4 linked regions of the Drosophila melanogaster genome follow. The protein of the gene in region 4 interacts with the protein of the main gene of each other region in a pairwise test. Each region holds a gene or a part of one and is shown on either strand. Other genes may lie near its edges.

Region 1 (6,334 bases), on a different chromosome or scaffold from region 4:
ACTATGCATTTATTTATACGAAGTCTAAATCTTAATAGGTTTATATCTTATATAAACATATGCCATAATTCAGAAGATAAAGCATAATAAGCCACACAAATAAAATAAGAGAATGCAGTTGAATTCGCTGGATAACTTCTTTTTGCCTTTTACTTGTATCGCAATAGAAGTTTCTGGAATTCCTTTTTCAGAAACCATTGTATCCTTGCTTTTTTTTCGGTTGTGGGAGAAGGAAATGTGTTGGCTGCTTATTTTTAAGCTTATTTTTAATGTTAAAGTAACCTTGGATGGATCCGGATCTTGGTTAGTAGTAAGACATTATACAGTGGTCGGGATAAATATGTGTCTTAGATACAAATCGATTCAATGGGTTGTTGATGATTAACTATTACTTACCACCGTATCTTTCAAAAGTCATATAAGATTTTGTTTCCCCTCCTTTGGGGTGCGCAATGCCAGTTCGCAAATTAGACAAAGATATCGTACTCTCGGGTATTCTTTGTGAAGTCAATCGCAAATTGACTTGGAAAATATATATGGATAAATCAAAATCAAACAAATCGCACTGCCACGGGAAATCGATAACTTTTTTTTTTTTTGATAGCTCTGATTCCGTGCTAATATTGAAAAATATTAGTAACGCTTTTAACGCGCTTATGTATCGCAAAAATTGAAATTTTTGGTCTCTCAACTATTCTGCAAAGGGAAAGAAAATAAAATTAGGAATGCGCATGAACGAACATATGTATACCACTCCGTACTAAGTATTTCTTACATTACTTTAGTTTAGCTCAAATTTACTTATAATTTCGAAGGAAAAAGGTTAATTTAACATTCAAGTATATATATATTTTACATATATATCTTTTCCTATTACTTATGTATTCAGTACTTTTGTATAATGGCCATAAAAAACACTGTTGAAGCGTGATTTTTGTGTAAGCACGAAGTAAAGTAGCTTTATGCAGATATACACTAGACCCAACGTTACAAAAATTGTGGAAAACTGAATTATTTAGTATAGATATATATAAATGTACATTTTCATGCACGTATGCATTTACATATGGATGAAAGCCACGCCATTTAAACTTTTGAGGTTGTGTTCGTTTTGGTCACAATCACTTTTCAATACCTTTTCCACAAGTTTTCTATAAAGCGTTTCTGATCACAATGAAAGTAAATTAATAATTTTACTGAATTAACCGTTTAAGAAAAGATTTTCTCCGAAGTCCACGAACATACGACTAAACGTCACAGCACAATATGACCATAACGACTTTAGTGGGCTGCAGCCTATCACTATCGATTGGCCGAATATGATGTGAATGAATTTTAGCCTTTTCACACTTTCACTTTTATATAATTTATATGGTATTTATTAAAATGAAGATATGTAATAATACGCTTAAAAACGAAAGACCATTTTTAAAAATGAAGTTGACTAAAATAGAAACAAATATATGTGTTATATAATTAAACGTAGTTCCAATCAGCCTTTTAAAATATATGTTATAAGAGTGGATCATCTGTATTTCTTCTATATTCCAATACCAATATACCACATTTTTTGTAGAGGATATCTTATTTATTTTATTGAAAAAATGTTTAAAATATTATTTCAAGAGCCACATTTTAAATAGTATCGATACCCAACTCGCAGTGAGTAAGCACTAGAATGTAACTACGGGTAAGATATCGATTGTCCACGTTTTCACTAGCAAATATAAATTGCATTTTATGGAATACTTATCGATATTCTTACAGTACTGGAAAACTTTTTCATATCGATTTATTTTTCTGCGTATACAGAACGTACTTTCGTTTCATTGTTGTCCAAAAAAGATAATAATATTATATACTTGCGGTTATTTACAACTGCAAGTAATGTGTCACTAATTTTTAGTGAAAATAACACAAAATACGACTTGTACGGCAAATAAGTATACGAGGCAATCACGATAAATAAAAAACCGTGAGTATGGAATTTCAAGTGGACGCTTCTCAATACTTACATGCACATATATCGATGTGTGGATATGTACATACACCTTGTTATAAACAGTTTAAATCTTTTCTGACGTAATAAAATCTCAAGAATGTACATGTAAAACCAACAAAATGTTTTCAAACTGCATTCAAATTAATGCTTAACCATAACCTTGTGTGTATGTAAATATAAACTTGGCAGGTTGATTTTTTTTTACCATTCTGCTGGCACTAAACATACGTACAAGTGTATGTATGTGATGCACTCGGCGTCATTTATCTGTACATGTGTAAAATGTAACGTTACCTGTGGTACACAGCAATAAATAAATAGAAATAAGTTCATAAATAGTTCGGGTAACTGCCCAGCTTCGTGCTACGCATCTGAGATACTTTTTCACCCCCAAAAAGATATGCCGCTTCATGAGATTGCGACAGGTGGAGATTATTGCATTTCCAATAGGATACCAAAATGTCTTTTCACTTTTGCTCAAATGTCTGGGGGATTATTTTGTGGTGGGGTTTGTGGGTTTAATGGCTTTGTTGGTATCTCTTCTATAGATATGATGAATTTTGTAGCAAAAGATTTAATTGGTGTATTTGTTTTCAGTTTGTTAAGTATACATTAACTCAAGTTTTTACTACATTTTTAAGGGTTTCAAACTTATGTTTTTATATAAAAAAGAAATATTTATTAAATAATAAAACACTAAAAAATCGAATTGGTAGAAAAAATATTGGGTTATTTCCTTTTTTCTTGCATGATTTTAATATTTGATGTTTAATATTATTACAGAAACTTGGATTTGTAGCTTGCTTTGTGTTGCGGCACCATGGAGGACCCCAATCGCATGTTGGCCCACACCGGCGGCATGATGGCTCCGCAAGGATACGGCTTGTCTGGCCAGGATGATGGCCAGAATGCCGGCAGCGAGAACGAGGTGCGCAAGCAGAAGGACATCGGCGAGATATTGCAACAGATAATGAGTATCTCGGAGCAATCACTTGACGAGGCCCAGGCCAGAAAACATACACTAAACTGTCACCGAATGAAGCCGGCACTTTTCTCTGTACTTTGCGAAATCAAGGAGAAGACCGGTAAGCTTAAAACCCTATATTTATCTCTCATTCAAGACCATCAAATAAGTTGAAATGGTATTATGGATTTTGTGATTTGCTTGTGATACAATTGATTTACTAAATCAAACACAATTCTTAACGTAATAGTCTTAAAACGTTCAGTATGAAATTATTTTTATCATTCGTCTTCTTCGTTAAAACTATTACAGTCCTCTCGATTCGCAACACCCAGGAGGAGGAGCCCCCAGATCCGCAACTGATGCGCTTGGACAACATGCTGATTGCCGAGGGCGTGGCCGGACCCGAGAAGGGCGGTGGCGGAGCAGCGGCTGCCTCTGCGGCTGCGGCCAGCCAGGGCGGTTCCCTGTCCATCGATGGTGCTGACAATGCCATTGAGCATTCCGACTACCGTGCCAAGCTGGCACAGATCCGTCAAATATATCACCAGGAATTGGAGAAGTACGAGCAGGCATGCAACGAGTTCACCACGCATGTCATGAATCTTCTACGCGAACAGAGTCGCACGAGGTTGGTGTATATAGATAAATGCAAAATGATGGCCATCATTTGGGTAATATAATCGTATTTCAGACCCATTACACCAAAGGAAATCGAGCGAATGGTGCAGATCATCCACAAAAAGTTTAGTTCCATACAAATGCAGCTGAAGCAGTCGACCTGCGAGGCTGTAATGATACTTCGTTCGCGTTTCCTGGACGCACGCCGCAAACGCCGCAATTTCAGCAAGCAGGCATCCGAGATTCTCAACGAGTACTTCTACAGTCACTTGAGCAACCCATATCCATCCGAAGAGGCCAAAGAGGAGTTGGCACGAAAGTGTGGCATCACGGTAAGTAGTGTAGGGCACATTAATCAACAATGCAAATCCGATTGCAGCATAGTAAATAAAACAAAACACACTCATGCAGGTCTCGCAAGTATCGAATTGGTTTGGCAACAAGCGTATTCGCTATAAGAAGAACATTGGTAAGGCACAGGAGGAGGCCAATTTGTATGCGGCCAAGAAGGCGGCTGGTGCTTCACCGTATTCCATGGCCGGTCCACCCAGCGGGACAACCACACCCATGATGTCACCCGCTCCGCCACAGGATTCCATGGGCTATCCAATGGGCTCCGGCGGATACGACCAGCAGCAACCGTACGACAACAGCATGGGCGGCTACGACCCAAATCTCCATCAGGATCTAAGCCCCTGAGGATCAGGGCTGTGAACCACTCCCAGTCCGGAGAATCCCTCATACAGTTGCGGTCAAAATAACTGCGCTGAAAAATCTAACATGCAGTTTTTTCATAATTATGCGGCTTATATTTGCTTCTTCGCCAAGAACAACAATTCTTAAGGGATTTTTAAATTCAGCTTTCTGTCCTTTGGTTTCGAGTCAGATAAGTTTAAAATTCCCATCAATTTAGATATAGTTCCGATAGATATACATAAATACGTGAGTAGAATATAAATACGTAATAGTTAGTTTGTGCTTGCTACATTTTGGTTGGCAGAAAAAACTTTGCCTGCTTAAATCAAAAAAGAAAGTAAATAAGCTGATATGGTTTTTTAATTGACACAGTCTCCTGCTTTTTAACAATATATGCATGCAGGATGTATTAAGAAGTCGACAATTGAATAATGGCCTAATTAAGAATATTTTTTGCCCGAACATAAAACGAAAAGTTTGCTCGCTTTTTTTTTTTAATTCACAATCAATTGAAATGGAAAGCATGTTGTTTGTGGCATGTCAACTGTAAAATACATAAATACGTAATAATTCGCTTAAGCGATTATAATTTGATCAACGTTCTTTAAAAAGGGTTAATAACCAATGCAGTGACTTTTTCTGCATAGCCCCATTTAGCTTATATATTAACCATCGAAAACATATGCAAAGAAACTCGATTAAACTGGTAGTATACGAATATTTTCACAACGAGTGGAGGAGGCACAAGTTTCAGAGCTATTATTTTGACCGCAGCTGTGTATAAATATATTTTAATACATTTACCTACATTTGCGGGTATATACAAATATTGCATGTAAATCATACTATGACGATTCTTTTTTGGCTACAGTACGTATACGACAGCAAAATAGTGTTTACTGAATTTAAAACTGTACGAAATTTTTAAAAACTTGAACAATACGAAAATACGAAACTAAACCATGTATACGATGTATATCAAATAAATAAATAATACATGTTGTTGTTATCCGCACACACGTCAACTAATTACAAAAATATTTTGAATGTAAAAACGGAAAAGAAAAGTCTTGGATAAACAAAATGTCACATTTCTATCGAAGGACGAATTGTATTATTTAACAGCTTATAACATTTAATAGATTTATTAACGTGTATTTTAAAAGTCTCAAAACAATTGTTTGTTTCTTACATCCTAAAAAGTATTAAACATTAAATCTTAATGGATTTCTTGCTATAAAAACGAACTTCCCAACTTAATTGCATTATAAAATCAAGAACAAATTCGTCTTTCGCTTAGTAAGAAGTGTACACTACTCTTTGCCCCCAATTAAAACGGATATGAAAACAGATTATTTGAAAGTATACAAAACGATTATAATTTTAAATGATAAATAACATATGTCTTTGACAGACTTTCGCTCACATTACGGTCAAATGAAACCATTCAATGTATTTCAGTAAGTAAGGTACTGCATTAAACATTTTGGATAACAATAGAAAAATATATAAATACACAACTTTACACAAATAACTTAATAAATCAAAACGAAGTATTAATTAATGGTTTTTTGGGAGTATTAAAGAAAAGGGCGTTATCCTTTGCAGATAATCTATACACGTAATAGAAAGAGATGGAGCATCTGTAGATACACTTGCTCTTCTTTAATTAAAACTATCTGGCTCACAGATAGAAATCATTCTTTTATGTGGGGTTGGTCAATAAAAACAGAAGAATTTTAATTTTTTAGATTTTTGGCAGCTGTAAAACAGACAAAAAATTTTAATTTTAGGCGTATTTTATTTTTATTATGGTTCATTACGGCTTAATGTACTTCACCCCACATCTTACAGTTATTCCCAAAAGTGTGTAGTAATTTATATAAATCACTTTGATCGACCAATTTTAAATTTATAAATAATAAAGTAGAAATTTTAAAAAAATTCACCCGCTGCCCCAATGCATTCCACAATTTAAGAACACGTTCCACTTATCTAGCACTCAATCGCCGCTACCTTGACGCGCATGCTGGCACTGCCCGGAATACTTT
Region 2 (4,591 bases), on a different chromosome or scaffold from region 4:
CTTGCCACGGCATTGCATCTATTCTATTTTGGGTGAACCTTTTCTTAACCGATTTGCTTCTGCCATTCGGATCATTATTCTGTTGGAATTTCCATTTTAAGGGCATATTATAATAAGAATATGACAGTAAGACATCCCTTAGTATATTTACACATGCGTTTTGGTCTATAATACCATAAATCATATGTTATGGACTCATACCATTGTAAAAAATAAACAAGCCCATACCAGTATTGCAGGTCCACCGTGATTGAAAGTCTTCAGTGGGTGTTTTGGGTGGTACTCGGTGTTTGGAGGTCGTCAGATATAACCATATGAACCAGTTCCACCAAATAGCACTATTTTTAACACATCAGTCCAGGGGATATTACGCCATTTGGAGACTGGCCAGTTTAGGTGGGTTTTAGCGAAGTTTAACCTTGGCTTAAAATGCCTTGGGCTAAGTAGGGGCACCTTTCGTGGACTCCTCGCAACTAAATTTTGATTCAGTAGTCGTCTCCGTAAATATGCATAGGAATCAAGGCAATGCTCGGTTACCGGTTGATAATTTTATAGAATAATGTATATAATGTTTTATAATGTAATGTATTATAATGTATCGAAAGTTACTATTTTATACGTTTGTCAATTTATGTGAAAAAGTACATGCAATATATAAACTTAAGGTAACCAGGGTCGGCACAAAGAAAAATATTGTAGATGCACTTATTAGACGTGATCTTGAGTATTAATGATACTAGTATTTAAATAGTATTCAATGCTGTCATCTTTTAGACTGTATAAAGGCACTTATTAAACCAAATTTGTACTTCATTCGGCTTTATACTTTCATATGTACATCAATGTTCTTACACAGCCTTACATTCACGCATTCACAAACATTGACACCTTGCCATGAAAACTAATAAAATCGCGGCATTTTGGCACATTTTCAGAGGAAAGAACGGCCGGAGTGTCGCTAATTCAATTGTTTTCGCAGCCAAAAAGAAAAGTGGAATGGGTTGATTTCAAGTGAAAATTGCCCCAAACCACTTTTCCACTTTTTCACTCTCCTACTCGCTCGCACAGCAATGCAACGAAACAAAAGAAGCGAGATCCACGAAGAAGCTGCAGAAAGGCGAACAAAAGTTGACAGCAGAGGGTATGAAGGAAGGTGAGCGAGAGGGAAGAGGCTAAAAGTGACGAGGGCGAAAAGCTCAGAGAGCAACAACTACTGTTTATTTTGAAAAGAAATAAAAACAGAGCAGGGACCGACACAGTTTGAGTGGCTGCGAGCAGGACGGCGCATGCGAGTGAGAGCATTTTTGTTAAACTGTCATAAATCTTAATTGTGATGGAATCGGATTCGGAATAGGACAAAAGAAGGGTGACGAAACGACAAAACAGATTTCACACACTTTCGGAGCAAGCGAGACGGAGCGGTCCCACAACGCTATCTCTTTCCCTAGCGATTTCCCCTGTTTCAGTTCCAAGCGTTCACTTGCCAGCACAGGGGAAAGTCTGCGCTCTTGTCGCTCTCTCTCTCTCTTCTCTCTCGCGCTCTCTTTTGGCTACCCATCGGTTTCGGGTTCTTTTCGCCAAGAGTCAGTCAGTCGACAAGAAACCGTTACTGCGTACGATCGTGCGAAAAAGCTCGGCGCACTTGGAAAAATCGTACGGTAATTAGTTAGCCGAGTGCCGGCGAGTGCGAGCGAGAGAGTAGCACATTTAATCACGCTGACAGCCAGCTTGTCCTGCAAGGGTGTGGGTGGCACACACGGCACACACAACACACACACAAGTGCGCAGCCGTCGCCAGAACGCAAAATCGAATCAGAAATTGCCGTCGCCAAAACGCGGGCTTCGTGTTTGCTCGTCAACAGCAGCGCAGCTTCCAATCGCTGCGCGTCCGTCGCGTCGCTTCATTTTTTCATCCGTATCAATCAGTGAAGGCAGAGCAGCAGCGCCCCGTTGTTGTTGTTTGTCAGCTTGACAGCGACGGCAGCGCAGCAGCAGCGCACCGGCAGAGCACCGCAGCAGAGGCTAGTGACGAAGGAACCCGGCCAGCGGGATTCAATCGCCTTTGGACTTTCGTTCGAGTAGTGACGACGAATCCGGATGAGAAGACGCACGCATCGCGACCCGCGGTTCCGCCAGAACAGTGAATTCTCAGTTTAAAACGCGTTTTTGGGGGAGGATAGAACGAGTGTTTTCCAGGCCGCCATCATATCTAGTCAAAGAAGCAGAGGTTTGATACTCTCGAACGCAAATGCTCGATCAAGACTGAAACATACGAGAAACATACAACTACAAATGGTTCAACAAAGTATACGTAAAACTACCACAAGCTAAACAAAATATACCACAAAAATATATTTATTACCAAAACTAAAGATAAACTATTGCAAATATTTACATTAAACGGTATTTAATTCACCAAAATTACACTACATACATAATGTAAAGCCAGTTACTTAAATCAACAAACCTTAACGAAGTATACGATTCAATGCAATTAATAAATTAAATTTAAATCAACACAAATTAGGAATTAAAAATACAAACGCCTCGAAACGTCATTTTTTGTCTGACATACGAAAGTTTATAAATTACAAAATCCAAAAAATATAAATTAATCAGTTATACGCTGCAACAACAACAAGTTATACTACAACGTACCAAGTGCAAAACAATAGATTATATGATCATTGTGTCAAACTAAAGTTAAGTTCCAAAATCCAACTAAAATCCTCGTTGTTTGCTCCAAAAAGAGCAAACCATCCAAGTTCCAGCAAACCGTCAAAATTCAGCAAAATTTAAAAATGTTACACGAGGCTCTGATGCTCGAGATCTACAGACAGGCGCTAAATGCCGGGTAAGTGTTATATGGAAGATTATTTCCATAGAACAGTGAAAGATGTAGAATTAAGAAAAAGATTCACATGGCCTTATTCGGGGGATTCAAAAATGTGACTACTCTGGGTATGAAGGATAAACGAACTGAGATTTTACTACCAAAGTGCATCAAAGTGTTTTTCATTATGAAATAGTGAAATATTGAATTCTTAACTAAAAGTGGCCATACTCAAAATATTCACATATAAAATAATTACATTCATCTCATTCAGTTAATATTATTTTTTTGCAATTGCTTTTTATGTGCGTTCAAGTATCTGGTTAAATAGAATATTATATATACCAAGTATATACGACATATATTGAATATAGAACGTTTTCAATCAAAATCAAAAACCATTGTCATTGTGAACTGATAGCCGAACTTGTTGAAATAGTATTGCAGACTCTCAACCACAAATCGGCCAAATAAATATATCAAGAAACTATGATTTCATGGCATTTGATGATTGGCATTGGCGGTTCGGCGTAGTCGCACACCTGTCGTTATAAATTCAGCGCCTCGCCAATAGCGCGCCCATATATCACAACACCCACCCGCAGAACCAAGAGTACTGAGTTCACGACTACGAGTCCAGACCCTCGGATCGGGAAAAGCAGAACTTGATTTGAAAAGGGTGGCTGGCAGGGGAAATCCGAAAATAACAGAAAAATCGCCATAGTTCGATGATGGGATACTAACTTGGGGTAAGCGTTTGTGTATCTGTATCTGGGTTTCTCTGAAATTATGATTAAACAAGTTCAAGATATTTTTCGAACTCGCTCTCGAACAGTCACTCGAGTGAGCCTGAGTCTGAGCAAATTAACTGAAGGCTAAAAACGGGTTTTATGACACTATATTTGCGGGGGCGAGGGTATTCGGGGGTGCATCTGGAGTATTAATAATAAAGTGCGACAAATTGTCTCGCTCTCGTTTGATTTGCATGCAGATACACACGAATTTTCAAGATTTTCCAAGGCGATGACGTAGTCGAATTGAATAAATCATGCGAAAAAGTGAAAAACTCAAAATACGCTACGCTCTGCTTGCCATCTTTTCCATTCTCCACCCCCTCCAATTTCCCCGTGTGCGCCTATTACCGGAGAGATTTATGTTCACAATTTGCCGCTGGCGTGTGCGTGTGCGTGTGGCTGTATCTCCGGGTGCATGTGTATGTTTAGTAATATTTACTCTGCTACCTTAACGGATTTGTCGTGCCTTAGATTTGCTTTAACAGGGACAGTGTGTTGTATTCGGCACAAATAGATATACTGTTATTAATAACCTTCATTTCGCAGTATATAGTAAAAATATACTAGGGAATAAACATTTTAAACAATAATTCTACTATAAAAAAATTCAGATCGGTCAACTCATATTTATTTATATTCTCACCTGAGGTCCAACCAACTCTCCCATATCACACCAATGGGTGTACTCCCACTATTTTAGTTAGCCTGAGCGTTACGGGTGCATATCAATATGCAACTCTCTCGATTATTAATGAGACATTTCAACTTGTAATTAACTGCACTTGCTGGAGTTGCGTATAAATCATTTTGATTTAAGCCTAATCGAATAACGAGATTTCAGATTATGATATGCTGGCGGAGAAAACTCGTTGCCAAGTATTTTATACTAGTCAAGCAAAATAATGGAGAAACGAGCCGCTAAATGGGTTGTTTGCGGGCTCAATCGCCCCTTGCAATCTGGATA
Region 3 (7,924 bases), on a different chromosome or scaffold from region 4:
AGGCACTCCTCGCCTGGAGGGGATGCGGATGCGAATGCGAATGTAGATGGGGCGGTGGAGAGCCCAGGGCCAAAGAACTGGCGCCAGGCACCGACTGATCGTCCAGCGATGATGATAAGGAGCAGGCTGAGCCATTTGATCTCAGGCGCTTGATTTGCGGACCATCCGAATCGCCGATCGACGATGTTCCTCCGGCTGTCTCACCGCCTCCTTTCGTTGGCGACATGTCAGACTCGGATTGGGACTGAGAATGGGATAGTGACGGCGACTGATCTTGATCCTCGCCCGTTGGCGATGAAGACATCTTGCGTTTGCAGCGCGATTGTCCCGTTTCGCGGAAGCCCTTGGCAAACGGATTGTTGTCGATCTTCAGCTTGGTGATGCGATCGTTCTGCGGAAGAAGGCAACAAGACGAGCGTGAAATATGACGATTGCCGCCAGCATAATCTTGGGCAACGGGGAGATGGAGATGGAGAAGGAGAAGAAGACTCATCACATAAGTCACTGGCGTCCAGTAGCTGGCGTTAAGTAACATGGCCACTTGACACCAGACTGCGTTTCCAGTTCTCGGTGCTCAGTTCCACTCCAGATGACTTGACAACATTGTGATCTTTCGGATCTTTCTCAAACCGAATCTCCGATCTCTCGGCGATCTTGCTAATTAGAGGCAGACTGGCGTCGGCTGTCAATGGGCCTAGACCTAGACAAAAACACAGCGAGGCGCTCAAATTTACAAGGATGTGGCTATCCAACTTCCTAAAACAACAATCCGACCCGCTGACTTTCTGCCTGCCCTGCCCACCAACTACACGATCCACGGAGGCGTTCCATGCTAATTCGAGACGTTGACCAAGCTACCCACGGCGTGAGCGATCGCCGCTCGTTTGCCCAAAATTAACCAATTAGTGTGATCGTTTCCAGTCTCTTTGCTCAATGAATTGGCAAAAAAAAAAATGCACACACAAGTAGGAAGGCTAACTTCGAGGACACATGACTCGAATACTCTTGGACGAAACATTTTTGTTAAATACCTAATAGTGCGATTTTAGACAACCTTGGATAAGTCTGTGAATAACATGTGAATTAATCAAAGATAGGATACCATGAGGTGATTTTGAACTAGAAGGGATTCTCATCGTGTGGCAAAGATATATATTTTATTTGAGAGTACTAATTAGACATTGAGCTAGACTCATTACCAAAATGATGGCGCCCATTGAGAGGGTAAACGGAGTAGGGATGGGGATGGCACACCACTTACCTGGTAGGCTGTCACGGCCACGAACTCCGTCTCGGCGAACACAAAGGCCTGTTGTGGGGCCCAGGGAATCTGCGCCAGATCAGCGGTGCGTATGACGTGCAGACGCGGCTGATACTTGTGCATGCTGGCCAGGACAATCTGCGAATGGGGATGGCGAAAGGGGTTTGGACTTGGATTAGTAACTGGAGACGACTTCAAAGCCCTGGCCGCACTTACATGGCCGCTGTTATCCAGCGTGTTATTGGTCAACTTGACCTTATTGAACAGTATGGGCTGCGCCTGCCAATGGGCACCGGTGGCCGGACTGTCCGGATGCAGGTACATCCGCTGGGGACTTTGCGGCTCGGCTCCTCCGGCTGGAACCCACTGGGAGCCGGAGAACTTGTAGCGGCAGTCGCCAATGGGTACCATCTCGAGGAGCACGCAATAGTTGCTCTCGTCCTCCAAGCCGGAAACACTTAGTCGCATCGAGGGGAACATGCGTCTTTAGGGGAAAGGAAAAGCATCTTATTAGTTTAATCAGTCTCTTATTATATAAGACAAAATCATTTTTCATTATATTATTAATACAAATAAGACTTTAATATCATAATTATATGGTATATTTTACTATTTGATAAATGGCTAATTTCAAAGTTGTTATAAAACCTAGCATAACCTTTTGTATATACCATATTAGACATGAGAGTTATCTTACAGATATTTCCCTTATAAATATTACCAAATCGTTGGTATACTGCTTTCCTACAACATTTTCCTCTGTGTCAGATGAGCGGGGGAAGTCCAGGAAAACGCCTGGAAAACCTTAGAGCCTTTGTTTACCGAACAAACTCAAATATAGTCATGCTAGAACGACAAAAGGAGCCCATTCCCGGTTCCAGCGTGGGCGTTACAAATATTTAATTGTGAGATTTCCCTTCCATGCGCCATGTAATTAGGACTGGTCAAATAGAGATTGCCCGGTGGAGTAGGGGCCGTTTTCCCTGTGCTAACAAGGATGCGAGGCCCTGACCCTCGCCTTCAACTCCAAGTCGCTGCCGCAGGAACAGCAGGTGGTCACGGCACTTGGCGCCTGGCCGAAAAATGTTTGCCCTTCGTCCTCATCCTCAACAGCGTCCTCATCCTCGAATGGTTTCTTGTTTTTGGCAATGATTTCGTGTTTCCCTCAACCGATGATTAATTAATTGAAATCCACAGAGCCTCGGTTTGCTAACATTTAATTTGATTCTGGCTTCGGGTCTGCCTTTTCAGCTCCGTTGAATTCCATTAGAGCACGGCACCGAAATATTTCGACATTTGTGCGGTTTAGAATTTCATTTTCAATTTGCTTGCTCTCAGTTTTTGTTTATTGTTTTTTTTTTTCTTTATTTTTTTGGCAAGAGTCCGCTGTCTGGATTTGGACAAACGATTTGTTAAGATCGATATCTTTGGCGCGTCTGCGCATAATTACCAGTGGAATTTTCTACTGCGAGTAAGGAGCATGCTGACCACTTGACGGCATTCGACTTGGCGCTTGACGCTTCGCAGGTGCAGGGACACAAGCCAGGAATGCGACGGAGCATCGGATCTCGGACTCCCGAAGGGTACTCTGGAAATATCCAGAGCTCACTCCAATGTTTACCCTACAATTCCATATAAATAGCTGCTTGATATTCCCAGAATTAGCATATTTAGGAAATTAAGAGTGAGACTATTTATTAATTGACAGCTATAAAACTGGAAGCAAACGACATAAATTTTGAACTCTTCAGATCGTAAGCCAGTTTTGAATGAGTCTACTAGGAATAACATTTCTTATTAGAGAAAGGGTAAAATATTTTCTTTTTTTCTTTCTGCAACTAAAAGTTTGAATCCAATTGAAAATTCTGGGTATATTTGCGCTTCTCATCGAAGTTACCGTGTCGCTTCTGTTTACCGCCTCTCTTGGTGAGTGGAGGAGCCCACACAGTCTAAAAGCATCGTGACAAAGTCATTTCATTTGCCGCCAGTATCAGACATTAAGCGATACGGTTTGTTCTATCTAACTTTAATGGCCGTCTGCGCTTTTACCACCCAAAAAGATGGAACGGTTCAAGTGGCAAGCGGAGCCCAGACAAGCAACTAATTAGTTTTTATGAGCGCCACTTGGCATAGGCATAGGTTTTGGACTTGGGATCGTATCCGTATGGGAAATGAAACGGGGATTGGGATGCGATTGGACAGACGGTGGCACTCTGGCGCCTAATCATTAAAAATTCAAATCGATTGCATCGCGACCTCTCCACCGATGCCCATAAAACATTTTTGATGAGCATAAAAAGTATTTAATACGCAGACTATATGAATAATTCATGGCATATATAAAACAAAAGGGTTGTTCGTGGCTCGAAGTGTATTCATTCAATGCATTTCGAGACCAAAAGTTTATGTTAATGCGTTTGGGAACCCTTTTTGATCGGCTCGAACTGAGGGCAAGTGTGAAATTGCTCGTATCTGTCGACAAGCTGTGGTCACTGTCACTGCCAAAAGATACAGATATGTACGAGCATCTTATAGAATGCAGAACGCGAAGATATTTCGGGGCCGCAGGTTGTTCGCTGCGCAGACAGGCGCCACAATAAAAACGCTAAGAGCTACAAAGATGACGACAAAGTATCCTTGACGCGAAGATTTATGCCAGGCGAGGCATAAAGGAGCGCCGACGAACCGACAGGACGTCCCACTGAGCTCGGCGCTCGCCCGATCGGTCCAGTTGGTCGGTCTACAATAAATTACGATGACGCCACTTTACGCACATTCGAACAAGTGCCGGACACTTTTAGGTAGTCGCCTTTGTGCAAGTAGTCGTGCATCTGATCTGATACTCATAGATACACGATAAATTAGCTCCGGGCGATCGCGCTATGCCTTTGATTCGTACTATCTACGATCTGAGCACGCAAAGTGCCGGCGAACTTGTTCGCTTTACGCCTCGTGCGATAGCCGATGTCCAGTGCGCATCAATTTTGGCTGAACCTGCAACCGCTTTTCCATTTCCCGATTTTCAATTTTCAATTTTCGATTTTCACATCCTGCCGACGTAAGTGCATCCTTCCGCCTTGTTTGCCTGTGAAAATCGTTGTCGCGACGCCGCTGTAAACAATTTGCAGGCGCCTGCATCTAATGAGCCTTTAACAGCAGCACATCCTCGCTGGACTCTACTGAATCGGATCGGAATCGGGATCGGGCCAGGGATCGGGCTAGGGATCGTTATAGGGTGCTTTAAGTGCCCGCGCCCGTTGGCTGGTTTATTATTCTTTGCCCTGCGTCTGGGGTATTAGTTTTCATGTTCGTGCTAATGCATCGCTACATCTATGTTTGTTCCCGATCTCTAAAGTCTGTATATCTCGAGATTCCCCCACTCTTGGTTTTTCATCATTTTCATCATCAAAGATCTTTTCTCTCTGTTCTAAACCTACCTGCCACTCTTGGTGATGATCATTTCCGTGCCAATTTGATGGAACTGCTTCCATAGATCGTCGTTCTGCAGGGTCATCTCCACGCCGGGCAACGTGACTCGAGGTGGCATGATCACGTGCCGTGGCATCGGAATTGGCAGCATCGGCGGAAACGGATCTGAAAAGAACAATAATCAATAGGGGGCTTATAGGTTAACAAAAGCTCAAGCAATCTAACAAACTACTTAGTCTTCAACAAAGAAAATTAAGAATTATTGAAATTATGTAAACATATTAACATGGTATTTGGCTAAAATGAAACCCATTCAAATAACTTAATAGTCGCCATTAGTTTAAGAGCGTGGGTCTGAATTAAAGTGTGACATTTCTGACTTATCCAAAGAGATCTTACGGCATAAATCCATATGATGACTGACATATTTGTCATAAAAACAAACGAACAAACATGGGGTTATATAAAAACGCTTATTTGGCGAACGAGGAACACCGATTCTTTCCCGATTACCAAACTTAATGCCCTCCATCTGGTATCCACAAAATAAGGAGCGATACTTTGGCAAACAACGATTTTGTTTTAGGGGTACGCTGATCCCGAAATTTAACGACCGTCGGCAACAAGAAAAATGCATTTGATATCAAGTTTCTCGATCGGCGATCACTTTCCCACATTACTCAGCTTTATGATCCGCTGGCCATAAACACCGCTACTCGCACACACCCCGCTGATCTTGGCCAACTTTGGTGGGCTGAGACAGTAACAGAAACAAAAGCAGTTTGCCAAAAGTTACGACCATTAATGCTAATGATGGCTAACAGCTTTGCCGCACGCGTAACGGGGCGGATGAGTGATATGAAGGGGGCAAGCAGTTTACCTGGTATGCGCTGCATGATCTGCTGGCGATAGATCTCGTGTGCTATGTGCTGCTGCATGCGCAGATCCACCAGCTCGTTCATGGTGATCATGATGTGTTGGGTCCAAAAATAGTACTAAATCTTTGCCCGAAACTTCTTTGTTTGGCGTTTGTCACTTGCACAATTGTTCCCCAGCACACAAAAAGCACTGTCACAACATATGGCGGTGTCTATTTTTTTGGAGCCCGGGTTTACTTTTTAGCCGAGCACGAGACGCCGCCGATTAGCGTCAATTATGCAAATCACGGCACACAAAAGTCTCTCATGTGCGTGGGTGTTAATTTGATTAGGCCCGGTGTCGCGTACGTGGGTTATTATTTTACCACAAATATATTGAGAGAATTTTTTGTATCTTTGGGCGACGGTCGTGTCTTGAGCTCGCCAAGTTCGCATTTCAACTGAGCAAGTTCCGCTGGCAGAGCGATCTCTCGATCGAGCTGAATGGAACGAGCTTGACTCGTTTCCGTCTTGAGCCATTGATCGAGATTACCTGCTGCTCACCATCGATTGGCTGTGGCAGTGTACGGAGTGCGGGAGCTAGCCGTCCCGCTCTGGTTTGGCACCTCCATTTTGAAAAATCCTCTCGATTTTCCAGATGCCATGGCTCCGCCCACGAAGCGCTGACTATCACTCTCTCTCTCTCTCTCTCTTCACATTGTGCCAGCTCGCTCTAATTGCGTTTAATTCTGAAGTGCGAAGTTGCACAGTCAGCGGAGGAGCAGCAACATGTTGCTTCTGGGTCCATTCGCTATGTGTGTGTGCGCTGGCTGGCTGCCTTTTAATTATGATCATGATGATTGAAATTGTTTTTTCTCCGTCTCCGCTTTTTGGCATCTTTTTGTGTATTTATGCTTTGCCCATTTGTAGCCGCTGCCATCACCATCACCATCATGGTGGTCCTCTTGTCTGGCCTCTCCAAGCCGTGTGTGTTTGTCGTTTTGCTGATCATTTATTACATTTTACCCGGCGCACTACAGAGAAAAGAATTTATTGATGCTGTTTGAACAGCAATTTGATGGTTTTTTATTGAAAAATATTTACTCTTGGTGTGTTTGGCAGCGTATTGTATAAGATATTGATCTAAGTATCAGTAAAAGTTCCAATCACTTACTTTAAAGTACCTTGTTTACCTGTTGGCGGATTGATGTTGGATGAAATTGCTTGGTCATCGTTGCAATAGTTTTTTTTTATACACATTTTAGAGTTTATCAGTAGAGAAGAATTGGTAAATAGTTTAATTAATTAATATATTGGGGCCCATTATACAATAATCTTTACTTTTTAATTAAACGAATAACACTTTAATGCAGTTTTCTCTGTGTAATTATATGTTATTTCGACTTTGACGCTGCGTCATTCAGGCATTGATATGGCGGCATCCAAAGGCCCGATATGGCGTCTCCACTTGCTGGTACACGAATATCTATAGGCTATAGTCTAGTCTACAGATATTGCCGGCGATGCAGGTGATCACTGTTTGTGGATCTGACCTTTTAGAGAGCTTGGCAAAACATTTGTTTCAAACGACGGAAACGCGTGTCGGAGCTGCTTGCTAACAAATTCGAAACTAATTAAGGCCCAATGAGGTGGTCTGAACTTTGACTGAAGTTAAGCATACGCCATGTGGGCCGACGATGGCGAAACGTGCTCGGTTTTTAATGTGTTGTTTTCTTTTTTTTTTTTTTGCCAACGACTAGTCTCGTGTTTGCCTCCAGTGCCACTTCCTTTCAAGTTTAAGACAATCGCTTGGCTTATCTGAACAGCATTACTGCGAAATTCCTGAGGCTCTCGATGGGTAAATATGTAGTTAGCCGAGCTAATTTACACAGCACTTTGCTGGCCTGACACATCCACGCATTATTTTCCTATGGATATGGCCATAGCCACAGTTGGCGGCGATAAGCGTCTGAAATTAATTTACTATTAGCAGGCCATTTCGCCCAAATTGCGTTCTGGCCACGTATGAATGTATGCGCCGTCTGACCATAATTTATGCCTCGCGTTTTCACATTTGGTCGCGCTCATTTCCGGTTGCGTTTTCCGTTCTGCCGTCTTTCAGCTCGACTACGTTCGTCAAACCATTAGACATCGATCCTGTAGAGCCTCTAAAGGGTCTGCCCTTTCAGACCATGCCAATAGCTGTGCAATTTGTCAGCACCCAGCTAATTGGTGCTGCCCCTGTGCCTGCTGTCTGACTAATGCATTTCGGTTTACTTCCGTTCGGTTCCGGATAAATGGGCCAACAGGTAGCAAATGATGCACTCGAAGAACTGCTAGTTGAGCAAGTAGTGTTTGCAATAATTAAAATACCTGC
Region 4 (4,565 bases):
TATGTGGATTTTGTATGCGCGGGGCACATCGCAGTGTTTTTTGGTCGGCATTTTGGGCTATACGTTTGTCGGTGTGGGGCAACCTTGAGGCTATTTAAATTACAAATCGACGCCAAATAACACGACAGACAAGAGAAGCATTTCTCAAACTATTTTCATTTTTATTTACTGCCAACTTTTTAGCTCTTCGTTCATTTCGTTTACGGATTCGAATCGCCTGGAAGACTTATGCGAAATAAACGACTTGGAAGTGCTCCGCAAAGTGTTCATTACGAATTGGAATTGTAGGCGAAATGGCGGTGCAAATGGGAATGCTATTGGGGAACGTTTGCGCCACGTTTATCTATTGTTTATAAAAGGTACGCAGCAACCATTCCAAATACTACACTTGGGAAATTTAATTCGATAATTCGACTGGACGCTTTTTGTTAGGTCATACAATTTGTAAATCAGTTCGAACCTGGTTTAAGTCTACGGGTTGTTAAACAACTTAGCTGTTTAAATTTTTTAATTATAGTATTTAACCTAACATAGCGACTAAATAATTCAATCCAATATAAGTTCTTACAATTTTTTATTTGATTTTTTGATTTCAGTGTAAGTGGCCATGATTTATATGTACACAAAAAATTTTAAGAGATCGCTTTGTAGATCTTGAAGGCAATTTATTCTTGATTTAAGACGATATACATTCCCTGAAGTGCACGGATTATTTCTGATTTTATAATGATTGGCATGATATATAGAACACAGTAGATACGATAGACAGACTCTTAATTTAAAAGACTGATTGATTGGCTCAGTGTGATAAACTTGTATTGGGATATGTGTGATTCTCAATTCTAAAAATCGGATAACTTTCAAGATTTATCAAATTTGGCACTCACATTCAGATCCGAAGTCTTTCACAAAGAGTCCGAATCTGGCAGTTATTTTTTTACTTATGTATAATATATCTCCGCACTATCGAGTATCGAGTTTTGACTCACCTGTAAGCGTCATCCAGGGATACCTGGGCAGATCGGCGATACCGGCTCCGCCCGCTCCCCCTGCCCCTGGCATCACGCCGGAGGCGGGCTGTGTGCAGGCATTTCCCAGCGAGTCCACGCCGATCGCGCCGGCACTGGCCGCGGATACCGCGGATGCGGCGGCTGTGGCATGTTGATAGAACTGAGCGAACTGTGCAGATGCCGAGGCAGGTACGCTCATCGACTGGTAGCTGTTCATGACAGTGTCCGTGTACCTGCTGTGGGTGTGGGAGAGAGAAAGTAGCCATTATTGTTGGTGATCCCTGCTCTCATAGTACGTTCCCAACTCCAGCGCCCGTACTAAAGTCAAATGCTAATGAGGTGGCCATTTGCATGCCCCTTTCACCAAACTGCGGTTAGCTCTAATTGCACACTAATCCCGAACACGCCCACGCACAGCAGGGTTCACTGTACATGCACATGGAGTGCCCATACAGTAGTACTAATATGCAAATGGCCGCAGCGGAAGGTCAGCGTGCGTGCGAATCTTGTGGCCGGCGACAAATTGCCAGCGGCCACCACAGGCTGCTCTAATTTTCCGACTTTATGGCCATTCAATATGAATGGCCGGTGGCCGAGAGGAAAATGGACAGAGTCCCAGGATCCGAGACCCGATAATTAGAGCGCATTCGAAACGGATTTGCGGTTTTGCAGTGTTTGCAGATTTTACTGAAGGTCTCGACTGGCATTTCCGCTCGCCAAATTGAGAGCACGCGAAATTAGTTCTTGGAAGAGCTGAGTGTTTCTTTTTTTTTGTATTTTCAACCCCGGAAACATCTTCTTAAAGGTTTTGAAGCCAGGTAAAGCTAATGGTCATACTAAATTTGCATATATTTTAAAATATGATACTGTCTGAGAAGTTCTATCAATGCACTCCAAATATTTGAATATCATATTAGATAGTATAGATCATTTGTCATTGACTTTATATTTGCACTTCCTATTAGGGTCATTTAAGATCATTTTACTACGATTGGACATAAAACCCATCCCGATTTATAAAAATCTGCATTATCCCATACTTAAACAGGGCAATCTATCTTACCTGCACGACTTATCCTCCAGTCCGGTGAAGCCGGCCATTCCGGAGAGCCCTCCATGGCTGCTAGGGTGGTTAGACACGTACGGATACATCTTGCTGGTGGGGATGGCAAACGAGGAGCTAGCCGCAGCGGCGGCGGCGGCTGCAGCAGCAGCGACGGAACTGGCCGCGGATGCGGAGGCGGACGCGGATGCGGACCCGGGAGAGTTGTCGTTGAGGCTGCGGTGTAGCGAGGAGCTACCGGATGCCGAGGGCGATGGGGAGCAGCTGCTGTCGCCCGCTTGAGAATTGCCCGCTGACGGGGGCGTTAGCAACAGTTGCTGGTGGGCGTGTCCGTGCGAGGCAACTGCGGCGGCGGCTAGTTTGCTAATGTGGTGTTGTTGCTGCTGTAGCTGAAGAGCGGCCGAGAGCGAGGAGTATTGGTGGTGGTGTTGCTGCTGCTGGTGGTGCAGATGTTGCTGCTGCTGGTGGTTCAGGTGTTGCTGCTGCACCTGTGGGTGGTGCTGCTGGAAGGGCGACGATGAGGAGACGGGTGAGTGGGGCGATTGGCCCAGATGTTGGCTCAAATGGCTCGGCGATAGGGATCCTCCGCTCAAATTGAGATTACTGTTGTTGTTGCTGCTGCTGCTTGGACTGCTGCTGCTATTGTTGGTGTTGCTTGTGTTGCTTCCAGCGATCGTGTTGCTGCTGTTGTTGTTGCTGCTGCTGCTGGCTGAAACGCTGGCGGATGCAGAGGCGGCGGCGGCGGCTAGGGCGGCGGCAACTGCTGCAGATGACGAATTCGGGGGGGTGGTGGTTAAGTGGTGCGAACTGATAAACGGCTGGAACTGTGGATACTTTGGCAGCATACTATCGAAAACAAATTTTGACATTGCACATATTTTGCTCTCTGGCCGAGGATCGGATCTTCGGAATTTCGTTTAGTCCACTTGTTGTTCTATTTTAGTTTCGGAGATTTCTGAGTTCGAATGATTTGGGTTCTTTATCTGAGTCGTTTGGTTAATGGCTAGATTGAGTATTTCGTTTTATAATTTAAAGTTTCCTCTTTGTGTGACTTTAACAAATTTTGTTTGAATTCAGCGTGGAGAGGAGCGCTTTCTAGCCATAATAAAACAAAAGTTCCGACTACTTCTGTAAGCACAACCTAAATCTTAAACTTGAATGACTTTATAATTCAACACTGTGAGAAATAGCATTTTAAAAATATCTTTTTCTTTAACTTTTTCATAAGATTTACACAGCAATTTAATTTGTATCAATGTCTATTAAAATTTACTTGTCTTTAATGAACATCTCCCGTCTCTGTATTTAACTTTTCTACTTCATAATCGAATGCAAACTACATTGGACTTAGTATATAAATCACTAACAAAATTAATCGAATTAAAAGGTACTAAAAACAAAAATAAACTTGGCGTCCAATGTGATAAACAAGAATTAAAAATGGCAAAACAAAAAATATAACATGTTTATAAAAATTACTCGGAAACCATAAAAAGAACATTAACCAAATTGAATATGTTTGGATTGAACATAAATCTTTCGGGTAGCATGATACAGAACTCAAGTGAAAAAAATATATAATCCAAATGCTTTATATATTTTTCAGCTAGATTTCCCTGCCAGTGCCAACGAGTTAGTATGTGGGTTACTTTTACAGTACTATATGAGATGGCCAACAGTTAGTACTTTTTAGATAGAGTTAGTGAGACAGAATTCGGAAACTTTGCCAGCTGCCCGACTTTAAGCTACTTTTCTCGATTCCGAGAAGTGAAATGCATTTTGTTACCTTTCTCAAGTTTTCTCTAGCGAACTTTTGGCGAGCAGCTTGTATTTGCAGCTTTTCTGTTTCTGTTACTTTTTTCGCTCGAAGCTGGCGAATTCACAACGAAATTTGTTAAATTTGCATATGGTCTCGGGTTGCGTTGTATTTGCAGCTGTGGCACAAGTGTGTGTGTCGCATGTGTGTGTTTGGGGTGTGTGTATCTTTTATTTGTTGTAAAAGCAATTAAAATGCGGTCATCAATTACGCGGAAATTCGAATGGACGTCGTGCCGGCGGGATTTCGTACGTGTGATTTATAGGCGCGCGATCTTTTTTAATGGCACTCTTGTATTTTTATGGCAGAGTGAGTTTCCTGCGGCTTTTAACGACTTCTCAAGTGCGTGAGTGTGTGTGTGGCCGGAGAAATGCTTTCTCCCAACGTTTTGCTTTAATTACTTTGTTTAAAATGTCATAAAACACTTTGCAGGTAGAACTATCGAAGTCTGGAACGGAGAGGCGAGAACCTTTTTACGATGTCAACTTTATGTCTTTTTAATTTTTACGAACCGCACACAGTGAGTTATAAACCATAGTGTTTTGACAGTTTTTTCGGTTTTAAATTTCACACACAATTTTATTATATTTTACGCGATCTATAACATTTAAGTGACAATAAGCCGGCGGCCGAAACGGAACAATAAACACGGCGAATCGGAAACTGAATCGTATTG

What was found.
Region 1: the proteins of abd-A (region 4) and exd interact in a protein complementation assay, tested with the Drosophila melanogaster proteins (4 studies listed by BioGRID, with this or other methods).
Region 2: the proteins of abd-A (region 4) and tsh interact in a protein complementation assay, tested with the Drosophila melanogaster proteins (3 studies listed by BioGRID).
Region 3: the proteins of abd-A (region 4) and Doc2 interact in a protein complementation assay, tested with the Drosophila melanogaster proteins (2 studies listed by BioGRID).

The regions. Positions count from the first base shown.
Region 1 is NC_004354.4:15,990,687-15,997,020, forward strand, and holds exd (extradenticle), read left to right. Parts: upstream 1-2,013; 5' UTR 2,014-2,238; intron 2,239-2,249; exon of another isoform or gene 2,250-2,427; intron 2,428-2,785; 5' UTR 2,786-2,822; coding exon 2,823-3,087; intron 3,088-3,278; coding exon 3,279-3,597; intron 3,598-3,660; coding exon 3,661-3,919; intron 3,920-3,998; coding exon 3,999-4,286; 3' UTR 4,287-5,823; downstream 5,824-6,334. Other genes in the region: CG46312 (uncharacterized protein), read right to left, coding at 397-418. UniProt on the Drosophila melanogaster protein: Transcription factor which acts with the selector homeodomain proteins altering the regulation of downstream target genes such as wingless (wg), teashirt (tsh) and decapentaplegic (dpp), thus affecting segmental identity.
Region 2 is NT_033779.5:21,827,005-21,831,595, forward strand, and holds the start of tsh (teashirt), read left to right. Parts: upstream 1-1,588; 5' UTR 1,589-2,801; coding exon 2,802-2,854; intron 2,855-4,591. UniProt on the Drosophila melanogaster protein: Homeotic protein that acts downstream of Arm in the Wg cascade during embryogenesis to determine segment identity throughout the entire trunk.
Region 3 is NT_037436.4:9,013,231-9,021,154, forward strand, and holds the start of Doc2 (Dorsocross2), read right to left. Parts: upstream 6,017-7,924; 5' UTR 5,662-6,016; coding exon 5,571-5,661; intron 4,856-5,570; coding exon 4,699-4,855; intron 1,746-4,698; coding exon 1,478-1,745; intron 1,400-1,477; coding exon 1,262-1,399; intron 392-1,261; coding exon 1-391.
Region 4 is NT_033777.3:16,825,062-16,829,626, forward strand, and holds the start of abd-A (abdominal A), read right to left. Parts: upstream 3,045-4,565; 5' UTR 2,943-3,044; coding exon 2,074-2,942; intron 1,247-2,073; coding exon 990-1,246; intron 1-989. UniProt on the Drosophila melanogaster protein: Sequence-specific transcription factor which is part of a developmental regulatory system that provides cells with specific positional identities on the anterior-posterior axis. Required for segmental identity of the second through eighth abdominal segments.